Linked DNA regions of Neurospora crassa OR74A. The protein of the gene in region 1 interacts with the protein of each later gene in a pairwise test. Links are inferred from orthologs where the notes say so. Each region holds a gene or a part of one and is shown in the gene's direction. Other genes may lie near its edges.

Evidence for each region.
Region 2: the proteins of NCU05288 (region 1) and NCU03711 interact in binary tests that used the Saccharomyces cerevisiae proteins (3 or more experiments, as listed by UniProt). The link is inferred for Neurospora crassa OR74A from reciprocal best matches to the Saccharomyces cerevisiae genes GDI1 and YPT7.
Region 3: the proteins of NCU05288 (region 1) and NCU05234 interact in binary tests that used the Saccharomyces cerevisiae proteins (3 or more experiments, as listed by UniProt). The link is inferred for Neurospora crassa OR74A from reciprocal best matches to the Saccharomyces cerevisiae genes GDI1 and YPT6.

What each region holds. Positions count from the first base shown.
Region 1 is NC_026504.1:5,449,810-5,454,103, reverse strand, and holds NCU05288 (rab GDP-dissociation inhibitor), read left to right. Parts: upstream 1-1,494; 5' UTR 1,495-1,945; coding exon 1,946-2,079; intron 2,080-2,176; coding exon 2,177-2,550; intron 2,551-2,625; coding exon 2,626-3,168; intron 3,169-3,231; coding exon 3,232-3,386; intron 3,387-3,472; coding exon 3,473-3,664; 3' UTR 3,665-3,981; downstream 3,982-4,294. Other genes in the region: NCU05287 (50S ribosomal protein L4), read left to right, coding at 1-161. UniProt on the Saccharomyces cerevisiae protein: Regulates the GDP/GTP exchange reaction of SEC4 by inhibiting the dissociation of GDP from it, and the subsequent binding of GTP to SEC4. Plays an essential role in the yeast secretory pathway.
Region 2 is NC_026505.1:2,172,427-2,176,008, reverse strand, and holds NCU03711 (GTP-binding protein ypt7), read left to right. Parts: upstream 1-1,256; 5' UTR 1,257-1,697; coding exon 1,698-1,727; intron 1,728-1,792; coding exon 1,793-1,846; intron 1,847-1,931; coding exon 1,932-2,027; intron 2,028-2,098; coding exon 2,099-2,323; intron 2,324-2,390; coding exon 2,391-2,603; 3' UTR 2,604-3,024; downstream 3,025-3,582. Other genes in the region: NCU03712 (hypothetical protein), read right to left, coding at 1-658. UniProt on the Saccharomyces cerevisiae protein: Ypt/Rab-type GTPases are key regulators of membrane trafficking and intracellular vesicular transport.
Region 3 is NC_026504.1:5,666,689-5,670,746, reverse strand, and holds NCU05234 (GTP-binding protein ryh1), read left to right. Parts: upstream 1-1,347; 5' UTR 1,348-1,866; coding exon 1,867-1,913; intron 1,914-2,009; coding exon 2,010-2,035; intron 2,036-2,119; coding exon 2,120-2,208; intron 2,209-2,345; coding exon 2,346-2,475; intron 2,476-2,667; coding exon 2,668-3,017; 3' UTR 3,018-3,537; downstream 3,538-4,058. Other genes in the region: NCU05233 (60S ribosome subunit biogenesis protein NOP53), read right to left, coding at 1-483, 557-708. UniProt on the Saccharomyces cerevisiae protein: Protein transport. Might participate in post-Golgi transport.

The sequences.
Region 1 (4,294 bases):
ACCTGTCCAACCCCGAGAACCCCTACACGCCTAGCACATTCCTCGAGGCGGAAGAGACGGCGGAGGGCGCCGAGGCCAGCGAGACGCAATCCACCACCACAGAAATCGACCCAACAACGATACCATCATCCAAGTCCCAAGCCGAAGCCCCCAGGGTATGAAGAGAGGGAAGCGGTCCCAAATGAACCAGACGGGCGAACGGTCGTGAAGGTACCCTTGCGGTAAGAGGACGAGGGGGGGAAAACAGTCACGATACCCGTTTTCCCAAAACAAACCACCACACATTTTTGCAACCTGTATCGATAGTGTAACGAGCATCATATGTGTTCACTGTACAACAGCCAAATTCAACCCGGACAGGCCCTGTTTCTAAAGAGGGAAGGACATGGGCCTGGGAGATTTTCATGAAGAAGCCAACGAAGCAAAAACAAAAAGCCCCATGGGGTTCATGGGAATGGGTGTCCCATATGGATTAGGCGGTCCCTGGTGAATAGTGATGGGCCGAACAACCGAGATCTGGGGTGCGTGAATCTCTGTATACCAACATCTCGCTTAGGACATGTCTAGATTTCCACGGTAGCTGGGGAGATCATCATCGGCGCCAACCTGGACAGGCGAGACCATGGAGAGGTCAGGAGGAAGGGGCATGGCGGGATAGACGAGACAAAGCTCGTTTCCAAGTCCAATTTTTAGATACAAAATGGCGAGTGGTAGTGTACATATATCAGAATGATATATATATGGATCTCTATATATACATATCAATCATCGTTGCGGGGACCAGATGAAGCAAGCCAGGGTTCTGTTCATCAGATCAGTGAACGGTCTTCATGTCTTTGAACATCAAATCATTAGCGAGCCCGAGTCCCACCAAGGGGGACATTAGGGGGACATTACTTTCTTGGCTCCGGTCTAGCTCAAAGAAGCTCAAAGCGGGGTCCCGTTCGCGCCCCTCATTGTACGACTCCCCCACTTCCTACCACGACGGTGACGAACCAGAGGCCGGCCATCTGCTAGAGGTACCACAACTGGCTGGCCGGCAGCAAGAAGCCTGGCCTCCATGGGCTGGGCTACCTAGGTAGGGGAGACCGCCTACGAGACCGCCCACCCAAACCGGAGCCCCGAGGAGACACGACCATGCATTGGACATGCCCCCTACTTTCATCAAAGAGGTGTCTGTTTGTCTCTCAATGGTTTTGAATGGTGGTTGAAGACTGACAGCCTGGCGACGATGGACATGATCAGAGCAAACTGAATGGATCATATGGAGTGCCGTGACGGAGACCTGACCTGGACCCATGGCTGACAGCTTCCTGCACCTGCACACCGTACTTGCAACAGGTGGAAGCTGCTGTCAGTCGCAGGCGGTGCCAGCAATGCAGCGTGTGTGCAGGCAGTGGCAGCAGCCCAGCGGCGGCAGTGCGGCCCCAGTCCGTCCGTCAACGCCCCGTCCGTCGTCGTCCCTTGTCCCCTAGGTAGGTAGTAACCAGGTATGGACACACTAACGTGACAGACCGACGGGACGCCGCCTCCTGTCAGTTGTCCAGTCCAGTCCAGTCCACGACAAAGTGGAAGTCCACCAGCCAGTCCACTCAACTGCTGGTCTCTGTCCCTGGTCGTCCATCATCTCTCTCTGGCGGGCTACCTACTTACCCCCATTTAGTATCAAGTGATCCGCCTTCAACTTCGTTCCTTCTTCCCCGTCCCATTCTTCTTGTTCTGCTTCTTCCATTCTCCGTCGTCGTGTGTTTAGCCTGCTTGCTATATACCACCTACTACCTACCTGCCTCCTACCTACTCTCACCACCACCACCCCCACCACCCCCCTCTAATCCAAACAACAAGCTTCCTACTACCTGTAGCTTGTTGCTTATAGCTTGCAGACCGCAAGACCGCCGACTCACCACAACAACCAACCACAACTAATACTATCAACACCACAACCATGGCCGACGAGATCGCCAAGGAGTACGATGTCATTGTGCTGGGCACTGGCTTGACCGAGTGTATTCTCTCGGGTGTTCTCAGTGTCAAGGGAAAGAAGGTCCTCCACATCGACCGCAACGACCACTACGGCGGGTTCGTACTTCCCTCTCCCCCCCTTCAACCCCCCCCTTCACCCCCCTATCGAACCATGATGAGGACACAACGGAAGCTAACATGACTCCTTGCGCAGTGAGGCGGCGTCGGTTAACCTCGAGACGCTCTTCAAGAAATATGGCAACTTTGCCGCCGGTACCGAGCCTTGGAAGGAATACGGTCGCCCCAACGACTGGAACATCGACCTTGTTCCCAAGTTCCTCATGTCCTCGGGCGAGCTCACCAACATTCTTGTCTCCACCGATGTTACCCGTTACCTCGAGTTCAAGCAGGTTGCCGGCAGCTACGTACAGCAGGGTGCTGGTTCCAAGGCCACCATCGCCAAGGTCCCCTCAGATGCCGCCGAGGCGTTGCGCTCGCCCCTCATGGGCATCTTCGAGAAGCGCCGCATGAAGAGCTTCATCGAGTGGGTTGGCGAGTTCGACCCCAAGGACCCCGCCACACACAAGGGTAAGTTCGGCCCACAAATACACTTGCTGTCATATTGTATTGTTCATGAGCGCTAACCAGTAGGGGCGCTTGCAGGTCTTGACATGGCCACCTGCACCATGAAGGACGTCTTTGAGAAGTTCAGCCTCGAGGCCGGCACCAAGGACTTTGTCGGCCACGCCATGGCCCTCTACCTCAACGACAACTACCTCGATACCCCTGGCGCCGCCCCTGAGACCATCGAGCGCATCCGCCTTTACGGCCAGTCCGTTGCCCGCTACGGCAAGTCGCCATACATCTACCCTCTCTACGGCCTCGGCGAGCTTCCCCAGGGTTTCGCCCGTCTCTCTGCCATCTACGGCGGTACCTACATGCTCAACACCAACGTTGACGAGCTCGTCTACGAGAACGGCAAGGCCGTCGGCATCAAGGCCACCATGACCGGCGTTGAGCCCGAGATGAAGTTCGAGACCCGCGCCAAGATGATCCTCGGTGACCCCAGCTACTTCCCCGACAAGGTCAAGGTTGTCGGCCACGTCCTCCGCGCCATCTGCATTCTCAAGCACCCCCTTGCTAGCACCAACGATGCCGATTCGTGCCAGTTGATCATTCCCCAGTCGCAGGTGGGCCGCAAGAACGGTAAGTTTGTTTTGCGTCACAACATGATAATCCAAACAGATTCACTAATAAAGGGTTGTCCAGATATCTACATTGCTTGCGTCTCCTCGGCGCACAACGTCTGCCCCAAGGGCTACTGGATCGCCATTGTCTCGACCATTGCCGAGACCTCTGCGAACCACCACCTCGAGCTCGCCCCTGGTATCGAGCGCCTCGGCAAGATCGAGGAGCAGTTCATGGTATGTTTTTTTTTGTTCTCCCCCGTCATTCTTGCCTACCTAGCTTCTAGAAAGATAACTAACCCAATTTTTCCCACAACAAACAGGGTCCCCCCATTCCCCTCTATGAGCCCCTCGAGGATGGTCGCAACGACAACATCTTCATCTCCAAGAGCTACGACGCTACCAGCCACTTTGAGACCTCGACAGAGGATGTCAAGGACATCTACCGCCGGTGCGCGGGCGAGGAGCTTGTTGTTGAAGGTTTGAGGGAGGGTATCCAGATGTCGCAGGAGTAAACAATGGACGACAGTGACATAAAGGGATATATGGATATGGATTAAGGCATAACATTAACAACATTTAATTGATGGTTTCTCCGTTTGAAAGCATAAACTGTACTACATATCACATTAGTACATACAGGCTGCTGTTGCTGCTGCTGCTGCTGCTTTGTTTAGCGAGGTTTTACGGGCAGTCAGCCAGTCAGCCAGTCAGCCACTTCCCCCTTCAACTCACCCAGTTTCCAAAGCGACGGGGACGAGTAGAGGAGATGGGTAATAAATCACATTAATCTCATAAACACGACAAAGTAATCAAAAGGAAGTGGTTCCCCTGGTGTTAGCACAGTGAAAGTTAACACCGTAGAGATATTAGATGTGGAGATGATGCTTTCAGAGCCCCTGAGTTGGGAATTTCCTCATCACGGTGGTGGTAGTGGTGATGGTGTTTGAATGACCGTAGCTCGTATCACTCTCCAATGTACGACCATTATAAGCATGTCTCGAACGAAGCGTTGCCACAGTAACTCTTCATTAAGTATGGGTCGGCGATAGGTGAATATACGACGTAGCAACAGTGAGATTTATGTAGTTGTTGTTGACATCCTTTTTTTTCTCTCCCATTTTGCCCAAGAACGCCTCGACATG
Region 2 (3,582 bases), on another chromosome or scaffold:
GCGCAAGGTAGAGGAAGTCGTTCAGGTGGTGAGTGACTCGCGCCTGTCCGCCGCTTTCTGCGCCGACTACGGCCACGAAGAGGAACTGCTTCGGAGCAGTCTGGACGCTCGTTCGAGTGAAGAGGCGGCGCGCGCGCAGGAGTTCGAGGGCTTGGATTTGCACGGCGCGCGGGGCATGGTCGAGGTTTTGGGCGAGGACGACGTTGGCTATTTGCGTTGCCGGTGGTTGTTGTTGTTGTTGCTGCTGTGATGGTGGTGGCGGGTGGGCGGAAGAAGATGAGCCGGGAACATTTTGTTTCGAGGAAAAGTATGAACCCGAGCCGGAAGGTACAGAGCGGTGGGAGTGGTGGTGTTGGGGGTTGTTGCTGTTGTTGGGCAGTGGTGAGCTTGGTGGAGTGACGGGGACTAAGAGTGCTGCTGCGAAATCATCGAGTGTCATCTGCGAGTGACATGGGACGATGACGGGCGTGAGGCCAAAGGTTTTGACGGCGGTCAGACATAGCTCTTTCGATAGGTCCTCGACAAAGTCGGGTTCGGTGCTGATCAGGCAGTGTTCCCGTGCGATGAGGGAGAGAAGGACGGCGAGCTCGAGATCGCTCAGGCTGTGTATTTTGTCCTGGAGTTCGGCTTGTTGTCGTTCCTTGATATCATCCTCCATTTCCAGTGCCGTTATTATGCCGAAGCATGAGGATCATATCCATGGACAGGAGTAGACGAGTCTCTTAGGTAGTGTAAGAGCAAGAAGAACTGGATGCCGATATTGCGGTCCTTCACGCCGGCGCTTTTTTCTTGTCACCGGGATTGGGCCATGCTTGGTGGATGGAAATCTCGAGATGGTCCGTCACTTTCCACAGTCGCCCGATCGGCAGGATGTTGTTAGGTTTTTATGTCTGTAAATTGTAGAGATAGTTATTCCTGTGAAGCGTACGAGTACATCAAGGGTGTGACAAAACTGAATTGAATGGAAGAAATGTGAGTCGGTCGCAATCTGTCGATCCTTTCTGCCCCTGGGACTGTTCCGCTGAGGAATGGGAGGATGACATGGCTGATGAAGAATGAATGAATGATCAATCGACACTTAATCCTTGGCGTTGGGCATGGTGCAGTGGGCCACAGGTTCCTCTTTGCGGGCCACCTGTCGTACATGTCGGGTGTTTCAGCTCGGACCAGGCCGACTTTGGGCGCTGGCGGGTGACTTCATTGGCTCCAGGGATGCACTGGCGAGACTGGACCAGTGGTGCGTGCCTGCCTGACGGCGCGCCAAAGGCGTCGAGGGCGTGTTAGCGCTGCGACCACCTCCGTCACTAGGTGGTTGTGTCGCAGAGCCGTCGCTCCTCCAACAGCGCAGCATTCAGTGACCAGCCCCAGTTCAACAAGTTCCCGCCGCCCCAACGTCCAGGTCGGTCACGTCGGTCGGTTAGGTCACCACTTATCGAAAACCAACCTACCTTACCTACCGCTTGGCCTTGTTTAGACTGAGTGCCGAATCTAGCAGCCTGCTACGACCTACACTAAACCCAACATTTGTTGCGCCCGCCGTCCTCCTCACACTCTTACGACTCCCATCTTTCTCGACTACCATCACTGGTGGACTGTTGTTCTTGACGATTGCCCGGAAGCACGCCAGCACGAGCAACTCCACCTCGTCCCGTTTCTACGTCTTATCAAACAACTTATCTAATTCCATACCGCCCGCCATGTCTTCGAGGAAGAAGGTTCTTCTCAAGGTGCGAGTCGGCCGCCAAATCGGACCATCTAGACAGCAACAGCTAACAATGACTCCCAATGGCAGGTTATCATCTTGGGCGACAGCGGTGTCGGAAAGACCAGTTTGATGAACCAATATGTATGCCAGCGTCGAGCCCGTTGTCACCATGCATTATGATACAAAGAGGACGTCATCTGACCCCCGCTCTTTTGGCGCAAAACAGGTCAACAAGAAGTTCAGTGCTAGCTACAAGGCCACTATCGGAGCCGATTTCTTGACCCGGGAGGTTCTGGTGGACGACCGCCAAGTAACCATGCAGGTGCGTGCGCCAAATACCCTACTTTGAGCTGGTTGGACGACGTGCTAATACGTAAGGTTCTCGACGGGCAGCTGTGGGACACAGCCGGACAAGAGAGGTTCCAGTCGCTGGGCGTTGCCTTCTACCGCGGTGCCGACTGCTGTGTTCTAGTATACGATGTCAACAACTCCAAGAGCTTCGATGCGCTCGACAGCTGGAGAGACGAGTTCCTTATCCAAGCATCTCCGCGAGACCCGGATAACTTCCCGTTCGTCGTGCTGGGTAACAAGATCGATATGGAAGAGAGCAAGAGGGTGGTATGTTTTCTGTTCGATGGGCCTTGTCGTATGTTGGAGATCATCATTTACTGACCTTGTGGCGCAGATTTCGACCAAGAGGGCCATGACCTTTTGTCAATCCAAGGGCAACATTCCGTATTTCGAGACCAGTGCAAAGGAGGCTATCAACGTCGAGCAGGCCTTTGAGGTTATCGCCAGAAACGCGCTCATGCAGGAAGAGTCGGAGGAGTTCAGCGGAGATTTCCAGGATCCCATCAACATTCACATCGAGAACGACCGGGATGGATGCGCGTGCTAAGGGCGAAGGAGCTCCATCAAGCTTCTAGTCCTCCTTTTGGGTTTATGAGGGAGTTTGGTTTTTCATGTCTTCATTTGTATGATATCACGCTGGGTATGACAGGAATGCGGTTTTGATCTTGGCTTGCAGAGACGGTGCTTAATGACCAGTGAGTTTGGAACGGGGGGAGTCAATGGGGTGCGCAAGAGTGAACGTGAACGGTGACGAGCAATGATAGATATGCACTGGTGTAGATGGGAGTATGGAATAATCATGGTCTTGGTGCCAGAGGTTTTCATCTCGACTGTCTTTCCTCTCCGAGTTTCCATAGCTGAGCATCTGGTAATTAGTCTAGGACCTGTGCAGCGGTCTTTCTGACTGTATCCAATGTGCTCTTCACCATGTCATCACATTTTGTAACAAGTGGTCGCAAGTCAACGACAACCCAGAGCTGTTGTATTATGGCACGACAATCTGGAACAACACCGAAAAGATTACTGCCTGCCTACTACCAGCGATAGCAGGTACCCGCCAGCTCCTTTCAGATAAGCGACCTATGTGGGAAATGCGTCTCCGCAGCTAATGTTTGGATGAGAGGTACCTACGTACATGCCTACATAATCACCTGCAGATGCATAACCTTTTCTTCACATTTTCAACTGCAACTAACGTTTGCCTTTTCAGCTCCTTCACCTCTTCACATCTCCAGGATGGAGAGTTTCATCATTGAGCCGATGACAAAACCACCGGCGACAGTAGCGCATTGGCGTGATGTCTCAGTGGTTGAAGATGAGTGGTAAAACAAAGCAACGGACACCGTACCTACTTCAACGGCCTATGGACTTTTTTTGTTGACTGAGAATAGCAAACAGATTGGACCCATCAAGTATTCGCGTCAGGGGCTGGATGGTATCACAGGGACTCCCATGGCGCCTCCGCAACTCTACTCGACTTTGAGATTTTGCGATTCCACTTCCCCGGAGTGGCAAACAACGACAAA
Region 3 (4,058 bases), about 220 kb from region 1:
TTGGGCTTGGGAACGGCGGGGAGCTGCTTGCCGGTGGCGGCGAGGGAGATGGGTTGTTGTGTGAGCGTCTTGGGCGCCTTGGGCTTCTCGACCTTGGGCAAAAAGTTGAACGTTTCCGCGGCCTGCTGCTTCTTTTTCTGCTCTTCCTCTGGGTCGGCCCAGGCGTCAAAGGTGGCGTCAACGACCTCAACCGTGGTGGTGTGGTGGCCGTCGGCAACGCGCTTCAGGCGACTGAGCTCCTTTTGGGTGACGTAGGTGGCCCGCAGGCGCTTGGAGGGCAGGACGCCGTCGGTGACCTTGCCGGAGGTTTCAGAAGCCGGGCGCTTCTTGAGGGAGACGGCGGGAACGGCGGAGCGCTGGGCGAGGATCTCGTCGGCCTTCAAGGGCTTCTTGAGTTGCTTGGGGAGCTTCTTGGTGATTTCGGTGTCGGGCTTGACGTCGATGGCGAAGAGTTCTTCGGAGGTCTTCTCGGCAATGACACCACTGTTATACGATAATTCATGTTAACCAATTGGTGTCTTTGGTAATACAAAGCATCACAGAAGGAGCGCCGTACCCCTTGATAATCTGGGCGTTCAACTCATCGAGACCCTGCTCGACCTCTGTCACGTCGACATTCTTCCTCCACGCCTTCTTGCCCTTTCTCGACGGTTGGTTGTATTGCTTGGGGGCTTCGGGATTGCCCGACAAGGGTTTTAGGACGGGCATTTTGGATATGTGATGTGATGGTGTGTTGTGTTGTTGGGTTGACGACTCGAAGAAATCAAACGAGTCGGCGGAGGTTCGAGGCAGATAAGAAATTGGAAATATTGATACCTCGAAACCGCCTGGAATTCTGGGGTCTCCTCTGCAATCAATCCGACTGCCCAGTGGGGTGTGCAACTCAAAATTTCAGCGGCGACAGGAGGCAGCGATAAGATAAGAAAGACCTGCCCGAGACAGGACAGGGAAGAGCAACTTCATGGAACACAAGCGTCCAGCGCTTCAGTTCCCTTCCCCAGCCGTGCTCAGCTGGCAGTTGGAGCAATTAGCCAATCAGACTTCCAAGCTGCCTCGGCCTCTGGACAAATCCAATGACGGCCGCCAAGCTTCCATTGGATGCCCGGTCTCGGTCGTTTTGGTCAAGTGAAGTGTCGAATTTGTCTGGGCGCAGAAAGGCGGCGGGCGGCCACTGTTTCCCTCCACTGATCGCTTGGCGCGGTCCCCTTTCTCTCGCATGAGTCCGCTTCGGGGAAGAAGACTGAATAATAGTCGCAAGAAACACTTTGTTGTTCGAACTTGAGGTTATGCATAAACAATGGATAAAAACATGTAAACTTGTACATACGTACATACGGAATGTCGGTCAATCAATTAATCTGTATCCAAACAAAATATTAAATGTTCAAGTATTTTCTGCTCTCTGTGGTATCAACTCTTATAAAACGATCTCTCGACCCGATTTTTGTTTGGTAAACGAAGACTCGACGGACTGCAAAGACCCCAGCAACCAAGTCGGCAACGAGACCCCGACTGGATCCCAAACACCGACCCGATTGTCCTCCAAGCTCCCTTGTCATCCACCCCCCGGCCACCACGCCCCGTCCGTCGCACCACTGAGACCACTCAACGCTGCATGATCAGTCTCCGGCAACTCTCCGCCGCCGTCCATCTTCCACTTCGACGACCAGCAGACACCTATCTAACTCTAGACCAACTCCGACCGCCTACACTACTAAGCTTTCTGCCACTTAACCACCACCACCTCCTCCAAAGTCCGAAAGCTTCCTCCCCTTGATCGTGTTTCCGAATACCTTCAGCTACCTACCTACCTACCTACCTACCTACCCCGCCAAATACCGTTAATCCGCAAACACATCCATCACAATGGCGCAAGCAGGCGGGTCATACAACAACCCCTTGAAGAAATTCAAGTAAGACAACATACCCGACACTTTTGCAGACAATGCACTTAAGTCAAATGGAAGACAAAACAAGACAAGATGCTAACCACTCTTTCTCCTCGCCAGGTTGGTCTTCTTGGGCGAACAAAGCGGTATGCGATTACCTCAACCTACAACACTTTCTCCACGATGTTCTCCGAGACACCAATGCTAACTCAACGATTGCGCGCAAACAGTCGGCAAGACGTCGCTCATCACACGCTTCATGTACGACTCGTTCGATAACATGTACCAAGCCACCATTGGTATCGATTTCCTTTCCAAGGCATGTTCGACCCCCGTCTCCCATTCAATTCTTTACCGCCCTTCCTTCCCAGACAGACAATGCGCGACAGTTGCAAAGACCCAAGAACTAGTAGAACAAGATGAGAGCCTTTGGCTAACTTTACGGGGGGGAAAAAGACCATGTACCTCGAAGACCGAACAGTCCGCCTACAGCTCTGGGACACAGCCGGCCAGGAGCGTTTCCGCTCTTTGATCCCTTCGTACATCCGCGACTCGTCAGTAGCCGTGGTAGTTTATGACATTTCGAGTATGTTATGTTATGATATTTCTTTTCTTTTCTCTTCCGCCTTTCTTGACCATCCTCTCTCTCCCCAAATCCCCCCCCTCACCGCCTTCCACCCCCGCTATTTCCCCCCCCCCCCCCCCTCCTCCCCTCAAGCCACCAATTTCAAAACCTCCCCCAAAGAAACAGGACACTAACATTCATAACCAACACCAGACGCCAAATCCTTCCAAAACACACGAAAATGGATCGACGACGTGCGCGCCGAGCGCGGCAACGACGTGATCATTGTCTTGGTGGGCAACAAGACGGATCTGAACGACAAGCGCGAAGTGACCACGGCGCAGGGCGAGGAGGAGGCCCGGCGCAACAACCTCATGTTTGTCGAGACGTCGGCAAAGCTGGGCCACAACGTCAAGACGCTGTTCAAGAGGATAGCCCAGGCCTTGCCCGGGATGGAGGGCACCGGTGGGGAAGGTGCCGGTGGTGCGGGCACGGGGGCGGCGGCGACAAGGATCGATGTCAGCAGTAAGGAGACGGTGGCGCAGGAAGGGTGCGCTTGTTAAGACTGACTGGACTGGTCTGACTGGTCTGGCGGCCTGGTGCGGTTTGGTCTGCTCTCGTCTGGTCTGCTCTGGTCTGATCAGGGCAGGACAAGCTGAATTCCTCTTCCCTAGGGAAAGGGCGTGCTGGTTGGGAAACCGTGACGGCTGGGGATGAAGACAGCAATGGGGATGATGATCATGTTGACGATGTTAACGAGGTTAACGATATAATGGGGTAAATATATGATGAGAGAATGAGATGGAACTTGATGATGATGATGATGGGGGGTGGGGGGAGGGAAATAGAGGTGGGTGGGCTAGACAACCTGACAAATGGGGAAGCAAACTATAATGAGAAACTTGGCTGTGCTTTGTGCTTACGGTTTGGCTGGCTGGCTAAAGCAAGGCGATCGGAGCATTAGCATGCGAAGGAAGGGGTTGGTTTGGTTTTGTCGGGTCTTAACGCTTATAATAATACAAATGATAAAAGATATAATACTTTGTATTTAGTTACCGACTTGAACCAACTGTGTCTTTTAGGTGTTGTTTAGAGTTGTTGTGTTGTCGACTGAGTGCAAGATGGAATCAACGAACGGGTAGTAGTCCAAGATTGACCTTGGATATATCCTTGGCTAGGATACCTAGTCAGGTCTCGAGCTACAGAGGTCAGTCACGTTGGCAGAAGACAGAAACGAGTAACTTGTCGAGTCAGAAAGTACTGAGGATTACTACTATAAAACAAGACAAGACATGGCAGAAAGAAAAAAACAAACAAGTACTTCATATTGTGGGTCTCCCCGTGTCTATTAAACGCCAAATTCGCCGATTCCAATAAAACCGAAAATATGCTTTGCTACTAAAGGTAGACTGATTGATCCCCCCCTTGAAAACCATGGTTCTGAATATAATGAATCTTTCCAATGACCTGTAGCGACCAACGACCAACCAACCAAGCAAGGGGTATAAGCAAGCCCCGAAAGCAGCCATCGCTCGGGGGGGAGGATTGTCTGTCTGTCCAAAGCCACAGTTACTGTTTTTACAGTTAGAGTATTGGCTGTTGGT